Linked DNA regions of Notamacropus eugenii. The protein of the gene in region 3 purifies or fractionates together with the protein of the main gene of each other region. This does not show direct contact. Links are inferred from orthologs where the notes say so. Each region holds a gene or a part of one and is shown on either strand. Other genes may lie near its edges.

The links.
Region 1: the proteins of STK25 (region 3) and CAB39 purify together in Homo sapiens (co-immunoprecipitation; 3 studies listed by BioGRID and IntAct, counting the BioPlex papers as one, with this or other methods). This does not show direct contact. The link is inferred for Notamacropus eugenii from reciprocal best matches to the Homo sapiens genes STK25 and CAB39.
Region 2: the proteins of STK25 (region 3) and PPP2R1B purify together in Homo sapiens (affinity purification with mass spectrometry; 3 studies listed by BioGRID and IntAct, with this or other methods). This does not show direct contact. The link is inferred for Notamacropus eugenii from reciprocal best matches to the Homo sapiens genes STK25 and PPP2R1B.

The regions. Positions count from the first base shown.
Region 1 is NC_092873.1:59,171,761-59,175,503, reverse strand, and holds the start of CAB39 (calcium-binding protein 39), read right to left. Parts: upstream 2,382-3,743; 5' UTR 2,208-2,381; intron 1,704-2,207; exon of another isoform or gene 1,519-1,703; intron 1-1,518. UniProt on the Homo sapiens protein: Component of a complex that binds and activates STK11/LKB1. In the complex, required to stabilize the interaction between CAB39/MO25 (CAB39/MO25alpha or CAB39L/MO25beta) and STK11/LKB1.
Region 2 is NC_092876.1:142,472,146-142,475,888, reverse strand, and holds the start of PPP2R1B (serine/threonine-protein phosphatase 2A 65 kDa regulatory subunit A beta isoform), read right to left. Parts: upstream 2,856-3,743; 5' UTR 2,808-2,855; coding exon 2,694-2,807; intron 1,662-2,693; coding exon 1,571-1,661; intron 1,127-1,570; coding exon 1,026-1,126; intron 1-1,025. UniProt on the Homo sapiens protein: The PR65 subunit of protein phosphatase 2A serves as a scaffolding molecule to coordinate the assembly of the catalytic subunit and a variable regulatory B subunit.
Region 3 is NC_092877.1:378,498,482-378,502,224, forward strand, and holds the start of STK25 (serine/threonine-protein kinase 25), read right to left. Parts: upstream 2,594-3,743; 5' UTR 2,285-2,593; intron 1,799-2,284; 5' UTR 1,751-1,798; coding exon 1,721-1,750; intron 1-1,720. UniProt on the Homo sapiens protein: Oxidant stress-activated serine/threonine kinase that may play a role in the response to environmental stress.

The DNA.
Region 1 (3,743 bases), on a different chromosome or scaffold from region 3:
AAAATTAGTCATTTAAACTGGTCAATTTATAATTTAATATCAATAATGATACTGCAGTTTGATATGATGATGTATATAATGAACTCAAATGAACTACCTAAAAATTAAACTACAAATCTGTTTCACTGTCCAAGTACTTAATCATTTAATTTTCATCAGAAATGCTAAAATATTTAAACTTAAAATATTTAAATTTTTAAATTTCACAATTCTCTAAACACTTTAGTTTTAAAATTTCATATATGACACAAAAACTGTATGGATAATTTTAACATGACTTCAATCCATATGGATGGCCCTATTTATAAGCACCTTTAAAAAGGAAAAACCTGCAATACATAGTCCACAAATATATGACACTAGCCCAGAAAGCTATGTTTTTATAGCTGCACTGGTGTTTTACACTTCAGTGACGTCCATTCCATAGCTGATAAGCTGATAACTTGCACCCTATAAACTAATATAATCATGTTCCTTACGTTGTCAAAATTAAAAAAAATTCAAGACACAGGTCTTGAATCCAAATCTTCACAGATAAGGAAAATGAGAAGTTACTCCCAAGCCACATGTGCATGTATGTCAACATCAGCCTGCCTTCATAAACATTAAAATCCAAAGAATTTCAGGGAGCTTTTAAGGGCATTTCCCCTTGATCCTGTCAAAAAATCATTTTTTCACTTATTAATCATTACTAAACAACTCAAAGACAACCTACTAACACGAATTTGTAAAACCAAAGGAAATCAAACTCCCTTTCAAGAAGCTCACTGTCTAGAAGCTAAGTACATTTGTTAAGATATCTACCAAGTGCTCTGGAAAAACTTAAGTACCAACTTTATTAACTTTCACTTTTAACATGAAACTACAAACAAATCACTTTATAATAAAAGTCAATTTAAAATGTTATCTACTTTGTACAAAAATTATATTTATATATAAAATTTTATCCCAGGATAAAAATATCCTTAACAATAACACATCAATTGATAAAAAATGCTACCACACAATAGCCCAAATAGCTCAGTAACTCAAAAACTTACAGGCCAATTCTTGTGTGAATAATTACATCTTTTAGTAAAAAAGGAACAGAAATGAGGAGTTAGCAAATGAGTATATTTATACAGAAACGTTCCGGCAATTCCACAAGAGCTTGACATCTCCAGTAAACACCTTTCAAACAACTCAGTCTGAGCAAAGTCACTTGCATCTAGAAGTAAACCAACAAGGTGATTTACCCCCATCAAAAGTGAGCTCCAGCTGCATTTCATTTAAGAAAGAGGAATTCCTTCTACATTTAAATGAGAAAATGTCAGCACCAAGCTTGGCTTTTCTCACTCTTCTTTCACAGATCCACCCTTAACTTGAGAAACACTGTATCCAACACCACACCAAATACAAAGTTACAACAGAAAAATACCAGTCTGTCTTCAAGCAGACAGCTTTCTCCTGGGAGACACATCAGGTACATTCAGGAAGTAGAGAACACTCCAGATGAACAAAGTGTTGGACAGCACTGACCCAAATGAAGCTGGATGGCCACCAGAGGCCCCCTGGTCCAGGATCTCTAGGACATCCCTGACAAGTGATCAGCTGGCCTCTCCTTTTCGAGACCTCCAGTGCCCAGACCACCTCTTTCACTGCTCACTGGTGGCTGCGAAATGAAATCACATAGGCTGTGGTGCACAATCGTTCAATCCAGAGAACTGAGAAAGAAAAGAGAAGGGCGCTTCCTGCCATAAAGATCACACAGCAAGCCCTCGATCCGTTAACAGGAAGCTAGCGAAGGCCCCAGGGTGGGGTGGGTCAGGGGGCGGTAAAATGCGGGAGAAGGCCCTGGTCTCGGGAAAGACCACTCCCCGGACCCCGGCTCCGGACTCGTCGCCCAATGATCTCCCCGCCAGCTCGTCTGGGGGTCCGGCTCCACGTCCCGTCACCCTGGGTCACTGTGGGTCGCCCTGGGCCCCGCCGGCCCTGGGGGTGTCTCCCTCTCAGCCCCAACAAAGCCTCCCGCACCCTGGGCTCCGGGGTCCGGCCCTGACCTCCCCCATAGGCGCCCAGGCCGCAGGCCTCCAGCGGGCCGGGCCGGGTCGGGTCAGCACAGGGCCGGCGGGGCCTGGGTCTGCTCAGGCTTCTCGGCGGGGGTCGGGGCCGCCCAGAGGCGGCGGGTGCCGAGGGGGGCGGCCGGCCCGGGACGGGCGGTCACTCACCAGACTAAGGCCGGGCCGGGCCGGGCCGGGCGGCTCCTTCCTGGAGGCCTCGCCGGGCTCTCCTCGGGCTCGTCCTTTTCCTCCTCCTCCTCGTCCCCGCCGCCGTCCCCGGCCCCGTCCGCGGCCCCGGCTCCGGCTCCGGCTCCGGCCTGGGCGAAGCGCTGCGGCGGCGGCGGCGGCCCGTCCGGTGCCCGCGGCGCGGCTCGGGGCCCCTCCGTCGTCGGCCTCCCGCGGGCTCGCGGGCTCGGACTGGGCTCGGGCGGCCCCGGGGGCTCCGGCTCGCGGGCTCGGGCTCGGCTCGGGCGGCGCTCAGGGGCCTCGGGCTCGGGCTCGAGCTGGGCACTGGGCTTCGACTCCGGCTCCGGCTCGGTCTCTCAGGCCTCGACGCTCCCCGCACCCCGCCCCCAGCCCGACCCGGCGCACGCTCTGCGCAGCCGCAGTGCGCAGCCTCCGTGCGCTGCGACGTCGGCTCGCAGCGCCGCGCGCCCGACCGAGGGGCGGGGAGCCCCGGGAGCCTCGGACGCCCCCACAGGCTTGGCGGACCCACCGAGGCCGAGCCCGGCGAGGGCCCGAGAGAGCGAGCCGGCGAGAGCGCGTGCGCTCAGTGCTCTCCCCTCGCTGGGGCAAAGGCTAGCCTGGATGCACGAGCGGGCAGATAAAAGTGAAACAGCCCCTGCCCTCAGGCCGCTTACATTCGGTTTGTTCCCAGGGAAGCCCTTTTGTATCCCAGCTCTGCTCTAGGAGCGCGCATTTCAGTGGTTCGTGATGAAGCCCTTCACGGGGCAGCGGTGGCACAGCCAGGGGCACAGCCGGTGGCACAGCGGGTACAGTGCCCAGCCTGGAGTCAGGAAGGTTCCTCTGAACAAGCTGGGTGACGCTGGGCAAGTCAGTTCATCATGTTGGCCTCAGTTTTCTCATCTGTCAAATGAGTCAGAGAAGAAAATGACCAACCCCTCCAGTGTCTCTGCCAAGGAAACCCACACTGGGGACAGGAAGGGTGGGACCCAACCCGTGGGACCCAACCCGACAATCCACAAGGAGAGCTTCCATGGTGCTGGACTTAGAGCCAGCTTTGAAGGCCACTTAGGAGAGGGTACCCTTAGATACACAGCCGCTGGAGCCCCCAGTTCCTCATCTGCAAAATGAGGGGGCCACCTTCTGGTTCTAGGGCCCCCTAAGCTCTAAGTTTGATTCTGCAAGGCACAGCAATCCCAGAACTCCAGACAATGGGCTTGGGAAGAAACTCTGGGAAGACTGTGATCGGTTCAGAGCTTTTGGGGAAGAAAGCAGAAGATTTAGGAGGAGGCAGAGTTTGAGTGCACGGCTGCCTCTTTCATCTTCTGAGAGAACATGTGAAGGAGATGTTGATTCTGTCCTAGCTCTTTCATTCAGAGAGACCGTGAGAGCAATCATTTACCGTCGTTCAGTATTTTCAGTGGTGTCCAACTCTTACTGACCTCACTTTGGGATTTTCTTCGACGAGATATTGGAATGGTTTGCCATTTCCTTCTCCAGCTCATTTTACAGATGAGGAAA
Region 2 (3,743 bases), on a different chromosome or scaffold from region 3:
TGGGAGTTTTCTTAGCAAAGATATTGGAGTGCCATTTTCTTCTCCAGCTCATTTTAAAGAAGAGAAAACCAAGGCCAACAGGATTAAATAATTTGTCCAGAGTCACACAACTAGTAAAGTGACTAAGGCTGGATTTAAACTCAGGTCCTCCTAACTCTGCTAGACCAGGCACTCTATCCACTGTGCCACCTAGCTGATCCTATGATAGTTTGCTAAACCCACTCCCTCTCCATATGGCATTTAAGAAGCAATTTGGAAAAGAATACTGTTGATATGTATATATGGAGAAACCTACACCACAATGAAAGCTCACTCATAGGCCATTGTATTCATTAGAATAAGAAAAGCATACATATTTATTAATCTTTACAACAGAGGTGTTAAAAACAAAAAATAATGAAGTTTCCCAGGGTAAATGACACACCTAGGAGAGAACTTGAAATCCCTATTTTTCAGAAACAATTAAATTCAGGTTCCCCATCTTGTGGATTTACAAATAAGTCCATAAGGACTGGTCAAAGAACAGAGAAGAGATTGGCCATGAAGGTCAATTTGCTAAGTCTATAGAACACATACTGTTTATGCTCTCAATGACTGAAATTGTGATCATCTTTGCACAACATGATAATGAATAAACTTTCACTAAAAGTACGTACAACTTTGCAGGTAGGGGGTTGGGGGAGTGGCAGCAATACATCTCCAAATAATACAGCATTTAAACCACAGAGAAGAAAGTGCATGGCATACAAAAGAAAGAGCAGGCCTTGGAACCAGAAAAGCCTGGGTACAAGGCCTGCCTCTAACACATTATGGCTATGTTCCTTAAGCAAATTATTTACCCTCTCAATGCTTTAGGCAAGTCTCTAAGACAAGAAGTTAGGATAAAACATGCTAACCCACATTGATAGAGGGGTTTTCCCTTATCTAGAAGTTCCTTTTACCAAAGAAATCAAAAGTCCAGTCCCTATCCTTATCTCTTAAAATTCAGAAAATATAGAGAGAATAGGTCACACATCACCACTCACCAGGAGACAGTGGGCAAAATCTGGACCTCCTACCAGGACAGTGAAATTTCCCAGCTGTTCAGCAAGAGCCAATAATACCTCATCTTCATCATAAATTGTATCTAAAATAGCAACAATGGGGAATTCATAAACAGAGTTAGGGGACCAACAGCTGAACACTCAAGATGAAACACAAGGGGAAACAAATTAGACATATAAATGGCAACATAGTCAAATTATAATAGTAAGAAAGCCTACTCTTCCTTCTTTCAACAGATACTACCTAGAATCTCTCCTACAGAACTGAGTTAGGAAACTGCTCAACCTCCTTTCCTGTGTCATGTAAATATTTTTTCTACTTGCTTAATATGTCCGTAATATTTCTGTCCATATTATTATATTCTGATTTGGACCAAGGCAGATGGTGTTGTCTTTCTATACCACTTTACTCACACGACTATTCAGTAATGCTGTTAGTAACGTAGCCTATGAAATGGCTAAATCAATAAACAAATGCTACAAAAACTAAAAATCCCACACTTTCTAAGAAAACAGAATTAACATACCAGTAAGAAATGGCAGCAGTTCAGTTCTTGTTCTCTCTACTCCAAGAGCTAAAGCAATTGTTGATAACTTCTTAATACTGTTGAGTCTTAGCTATCAAAAAAAAAAAAATCATATGGAGATGCAAGGGGCAAATCAGTACAAAGCAGACAAAGTGCAAATCTAAAAGAAAAGTGCTAAATGGACAAGTGATGGCAAGGAAGACAAATAAAATTTAAATTTCTAATTTAGATTTCTCAGAGAAGATGATGTAGCATGGAAGGCTTCCAGAAGTCAGGTTAACCTAACCATATAAACAAGAGAAGATTCCTCAAGTTGAGCAGTCATACTTTTTTGGGAAAATACAATAAAAATGAAAGAAAGCCTGACAAGTGAAAGAATTTTTAACAGGAAAGAGAATGCTGACAGGAGTGTGGTGGGCAAGAATAAACTGGAGGATAATTGTTGTCATTTTCCTTTTTAACCTGAAAATACACATTTCATTTCGCTTAATCATGCATCCCTCCTTCCACCCAACCGGCTTTTCCATGTGCAAACCTTGGACATATTTCAACTCTACAACTCCAAGGACCCCTGGGCATCCTGTTAATTAAACCTCGGCCCAGCATTTACTTAGCGTAGGGGGAAGAGGAGAAATTAGGGGCGCGGTGGAACTGGGACAAGACCTGAAGGGAAACCCCTGGGGGGCGGGGAGGGGGGAAGGAAGCACCCCGATCAGAAATCCCGACCCCCCCCCCCCCACTGATACTAAAGGGTTTTTTTCTTCTTAAGCTAGGGCTAACGCGGCCCAGTTTCTCCCGGGGCTGACGGGGTTTGTTTCCACAGACCAGCCCCCACGAGGCGTCAAAGAAATTGGGAAGCGTCTTCCTCGGAAGCCGCGGGCCCAGCCCGGGCTGGGCCCCGAGACTCGGAAGAACCTCTGCGGGGTCAGGGCTGAGCCCCAGCGTGTGTAGGGGTAACTCTGGGGCAGGTTCTGGTCTCCCCCGGGTTCCTGGCCGACCTGGCCCGGCCTCAGGCCGGCTGCTACCCCCCCACCCCAGTCACTGGGCCTTCCTGCCTCAGTCCTACCTCCCCCCGTCTCCCCATCGCCGGCCCGGACTCAGGTGCCCGCTTCGGCCCCACTACCTGCACATCCTCATTCCGGAGCTCGTCGATCAAAACCGCGATGGGGTACAGCGAGTCGTCTCCGTCTCCGCCCGCGGCGCCAGGACCGCTCCCGGGCCCCGCGGCACCCGCCATGTTCTTCCCCCGGCTGCTACCGCCACCGCCGCGGCCGCCTCCTGCTCAGAGCGTCGCCCCGCCCCACGCACGCACGCACGCACGCACACGCTTGCACGTCGCCCCGGGCTGCGACCCACACACGGCGTGCGCGTGCGTCGGAGCCGTTTACTGCTTTCGTGATCCTTCGGGAGCGTGAAGATGCCTCTCGACGCCCGGGCTTCGGGCCCAGAGGGGTTCGGACGAGCGCGTCTGAGCTTTACAAGGGGGTCGGAGGAGGGCCCTCGCCCGCTTGTGGTCTCACGAGGGCTGTGCCCGGCGAGGCCCGGAGGACGGAGGCCCCGCTGCCCCTTCCCTCTTGCCCAGCCAGCAGGCCAGGCCCTTCTCCGTGAGTTCTCCGCTCCTCCTCCCCTCCCCGGCACCCCAGGGAGCAGGGCCCGGCCTAGGGCCCGTCCTTCAGCAGCTCCCGTACAGCTAGCGTGCACTGCTGGAAAACAAGGAGTGACCGGAGGAGGACGGCGCAGAGCCGGCCGGACCCTGCACTCGGTATTTATTCCGGTGCCCCCGGGCAAGCCGGGAAAAGCTCGCTGCCCCCTTGGGGTTGTGTTCCTTTTCCATCTCGGGCCTGAAATTGTGCCTGCTCTACGCTTTTCTCCCCCCGGCCCTTATTCCTGAATTAAATTAAACCGACATATATAAAGACGTTCCTCTGTACCGCACGCCGCGCTGGGTGTTAAGGATACCACAACGGAAGTGAAACAATATTAAGTACCTACCGTGTGCCAGGCACGAAGTTAAACGCCGGAGGTGCAGATAAAAACTAAAAACCAGTGCCAGTGCTCCTGGAGGCCCCCATCCAAAGGAGCTGCCTTCGCGGAGCCCCTGCCTTCAGGAGCTTGTCGTCTGCGGGGGCGGGAGGGGGGACGGGGCATGACCTCTGTGTACAAGCAGCACAAG
Region 3 (3,743 bases):
TCTAAAGGGCCTGTCATCATGAACTGCGGGGTGTGAGGGGTGGGCCACTCCCCAGGCTCCTGGTTCTACATGCCTTCACCTGAAGCATCAGTTGCACTGTAATTCTGTCTGGAACAGACAGTGTGTGGAAGGAGTTTCTGAGGTGCCCACACCTGGTAGCTGCTCAAGGCTCTTGAGGGCCCAGCCCCACCTGAGGCAGTGCTAGGTCTACTCCTGGGCCCTCAGCCCTGAGCAGTACCCAGAATTCAAGCTGCCAAAGGGACTAACGAGTGGGGAGCGCTTCTTTCTGCCTCCTCTGCTCACAGACCCCAACACTCTTCACGGCTGGAGCCCCATTCACACGTATGAGGGGATAAGTTCCACAGCGCACCACTGCTCTGCAGACGAATCCAAGATGTCAGGTCAGCACTCCCTCCAAGGCCCCACCTGCAGTCGCAGCTGGCATTATCACCAGGCCAGGCCCAGTGACATCTGTCCTTTCATTTCAGCGCCACACAATTACCCTAGGGGACTACAAGGCTTCTCTTAACCTCTCTGTACCTGTGGGCACAATCATTCCACCCTATTTTTTCTTCTCTTAAAAGGACTCAGCAACTCTTTCTAAACTCACAGTTTTAAAAATAATATGTTTAACTAAAAAAGTGTCCTCCAATTGACAGTCAAAATGCATTTCTACCTATCTCCAACGACTACCTCCACTGACCTTCTTTGCTCTCACCTAAGTCAACCTCCTTGTATGATCAGTTTTGTTCAGACAAAGCACAAACATGATCTGGGCGCTAGTCGCAGGGCAGCCAAAAGCAAAGGGCAGCTTTTGTCCCACCTCCAGAGAAGGGTGGCTCCCCAGCCGAGGGCCCCTTCCCAGAAGTTTCTGCAGCAGAAATGCTCAAGCAGCTCACTTGAACCATACACACCGAGAAAGCACAAGGGGATAGTCACGCATGGCTCACAAAAGAATCTCCCCAAATGTCAAGGTGCTGTCCCTGCTCTGAGGAGCCACAGGGAAGAAGACTGGGACCCTTGAGAATCGCTACCTGGCCCCAGACAGGGGGATGGCTGGCCCACTCAGCAGCGCCCTAGGACTGAGAACCCCAGGCTCCTGGCATTCCCCACACTTAGCCACGGTCCTTTGGTGTGCTAGTCCCCCCTCCCCAGACGCGGGTTCAATTTCTGCCGGGGTCCCCTGGACGCCAACAGAGCCCACCCCAAGTTTGATTCCTTCCCACCAGGTAGCAGTCGCGTAAAAGATGAGATTGCACCTGATAACCACTCTCCGAAGGTGTCCTGCCCACTGGCACGCCTCTCTTCGTGGCGCTCAGGAGAGATGGACCCCGCGGATGCCCTTTACTGACCAGGGGAATTCTAAACTTGCGGGTGGCACCGTGGCGTGGGGGAGGCGAGGGGCGAGGGGTCCGGCGGGCAGTCTGCCCTGTTTCGGGTCGGGTAGCGGCGTGCTGCGGTCCGCGATCCTGCCCCGCAACCCTGCCCACGATCCCGCCCGCGATCCTGCCCCGCAACCCTGCCCACAATCCCGCCCGCGATCCCGCCCGCCCGCGATCCTGCCCCACGATCCCGCCCGCGATCCTGCCCCGCAACCCTGCCCAGGATCCCGCCCGCAATCCCGCCTGCCCGAGATCCTGCCCCACGATCCTGCCCCGCAACCCTGCCCACGATCCTGCCCCACGATCTCGCCAGCGATCCCACCCCGCCCAGCCCTTACCTGCTGAGCGAAGTCCCTCAGGTGAGCCATGTCTCCCGGCCAACCGCCGCCAGCCCGGTCCAATCCGCGGCTCGTCACCTGTGATCCGCGCAGACCAAGACACGGGGTTTCGGGGTCCGAGGGGCGCACAGGGCGGCCGGCCCGGCCCGGCCCGGCCCAGATGGGGGAGGTCCGGCACCTCCCCCTCCCCCGGACTCCAAGCCTGGGCCCCCCCACCTCTCAGGGCTGCCCCTCCCCCAGTCCTGCTGCACCCCAGAATCGGAACCAGCAGCACAGACAGCTGGGCCCCCCCAACCTACTGACGGAAAGGTGACCTTGGGCTGGTCCCGCCCCCTCCCCTCCAGACCAGGCTAGACTCCCTGGGGCGCGTAGCCCCCTCCTTTCCCTCCCTCCCGGCCCCTCCCCCACACCTGGTCTCCCCTCCCCCCCTCCCTGCACCAACGCCCGCCTCCCTCTCTCCGGCCCTTCCCCCACCCCCACCCGGCACCGCTCTCTCCCCCAACCCCCCTCCTACCCCGCCCCCAGCCCTTTCCCATCCCCCCTCTGGCTCCTCCCTCCCCGTACCTGGACTGAGGCGCCCCCGGGGGGCCCCAGGCCTCAGCGCGCCCCGCCTCCGGGGGTCTCCATGACCGCCCTGGGCCTCGCCCGCAGCGCCTGACAGTGACGGGAGCAGCTGCGGCCCGACCCCAGACGCGGCTCCGGCTCGGGCTCGGCTCGGGTTCGGCTCGGGCTCGGCTCGGACTCGGGCTCCGGCTCCGGTCCGGCTCCCGCGGCGTCTGGAGATAGAGAAAGCCAGGGCGGCGGAGGAGCGAGGAGGGGGTGGGGGCAGAGATGGGAGAGCCACTGCGCAGTCGCGGGCGTCCCGTTGCCTTCTGGGAGTTGTAGTCCCGCTTCCCGAAGCCCTGCTCCTGATGCTGGGGGAGGGGGCACTCCGGCTCCCTGACGTCCCTTGGGAAATGGGCGGGGCCTCCGGGCAGGGCCTCAGGCGGCAGCGGCGATAAAGGCTGGTTGGGCTTCGGCATTTCCTCGAGGAGCCTCTGGGAGGGGGGCGAGGACTCCAAATCCCAGGAGGCTTAGCGCGGAGGAAGACTGGGGGCGGGGGATGGGAGGAACCGTGGAGCGTGACCCCTGTCAGCCCGCAGAGCTTCTGCCGGGCCCCCAAACCTGGTCCGGTGAGGGGCAGTGAGAGGGAAGGCCTCGGCCCCCGACAGTGCCCTCCGCCCTCCCCCTTCTCCTTTTCTCCATCCCCAGGTCGGTCTTGGGGGGCTTCTGGGCGGCCCCCCAGAGTGGCCGCTGTTTGGGGGCGGGGCTGCTTGCAGGTGGGTCCTGGCACGCCCGTCTCCCCAGGTGCGGCGCCCCCTGGCCAGGGGCGGAGGAGAGCCGGGAGATCCCGGAGCTAGAGCTGGGGGGCCTGGAGCCTGGGGTCCGACCTCGCCCCCTTTCACAGAGGAGGCCCCACGTGACGAGCGCGGTCACCCGTGACCCTCCCCTGGCCCGCGCCCCCCGGCGCGGGGGCCTCCCGGCAGGTGACCCCCAGGGGAGCGGGACCCTCTGCAGTGCTGGGGGCGGAGGGCAGGGGGGAGTCAAGCCTCGAGCCATCGGCTCTCCAGGCCGGGGAGCGGGGACCTCCTGGGGGGACTGAGGGGGACAGCCCCCTGCGGACGCCTCGAGGGGCGGGCCCAGGGCCGGGCTCCGAGCGGGGAGCATGCCCGGGGGTGCAGGAGCGCCGGCCTGAGGAGGAGCAGCCCGGCAGGTAGGAGGAGCAGCCCGGCAGGTAGGAGGAGCAGCCCGGCAGGTAGGAGGAGCAGCCCGGCAGGTAGGAGGAGCAGCCCGGCAGGTAGGAGGAGCATGCCCGGGGGTCCAGGTGCGCCGGCCTGAGGAGGAGCAGCCCGGCAGGTAGGAGGAGCGCCGGGCGGGAGGGTCAGAGAGTCCCAGAAACCTCGCTTGGCAGGAGGAGACTCCAGGAAGAAGGGGGGACATCGGGAGGGAGCAGGCTGGGGGTGGCCTTGTGAAGAGCTGTTTC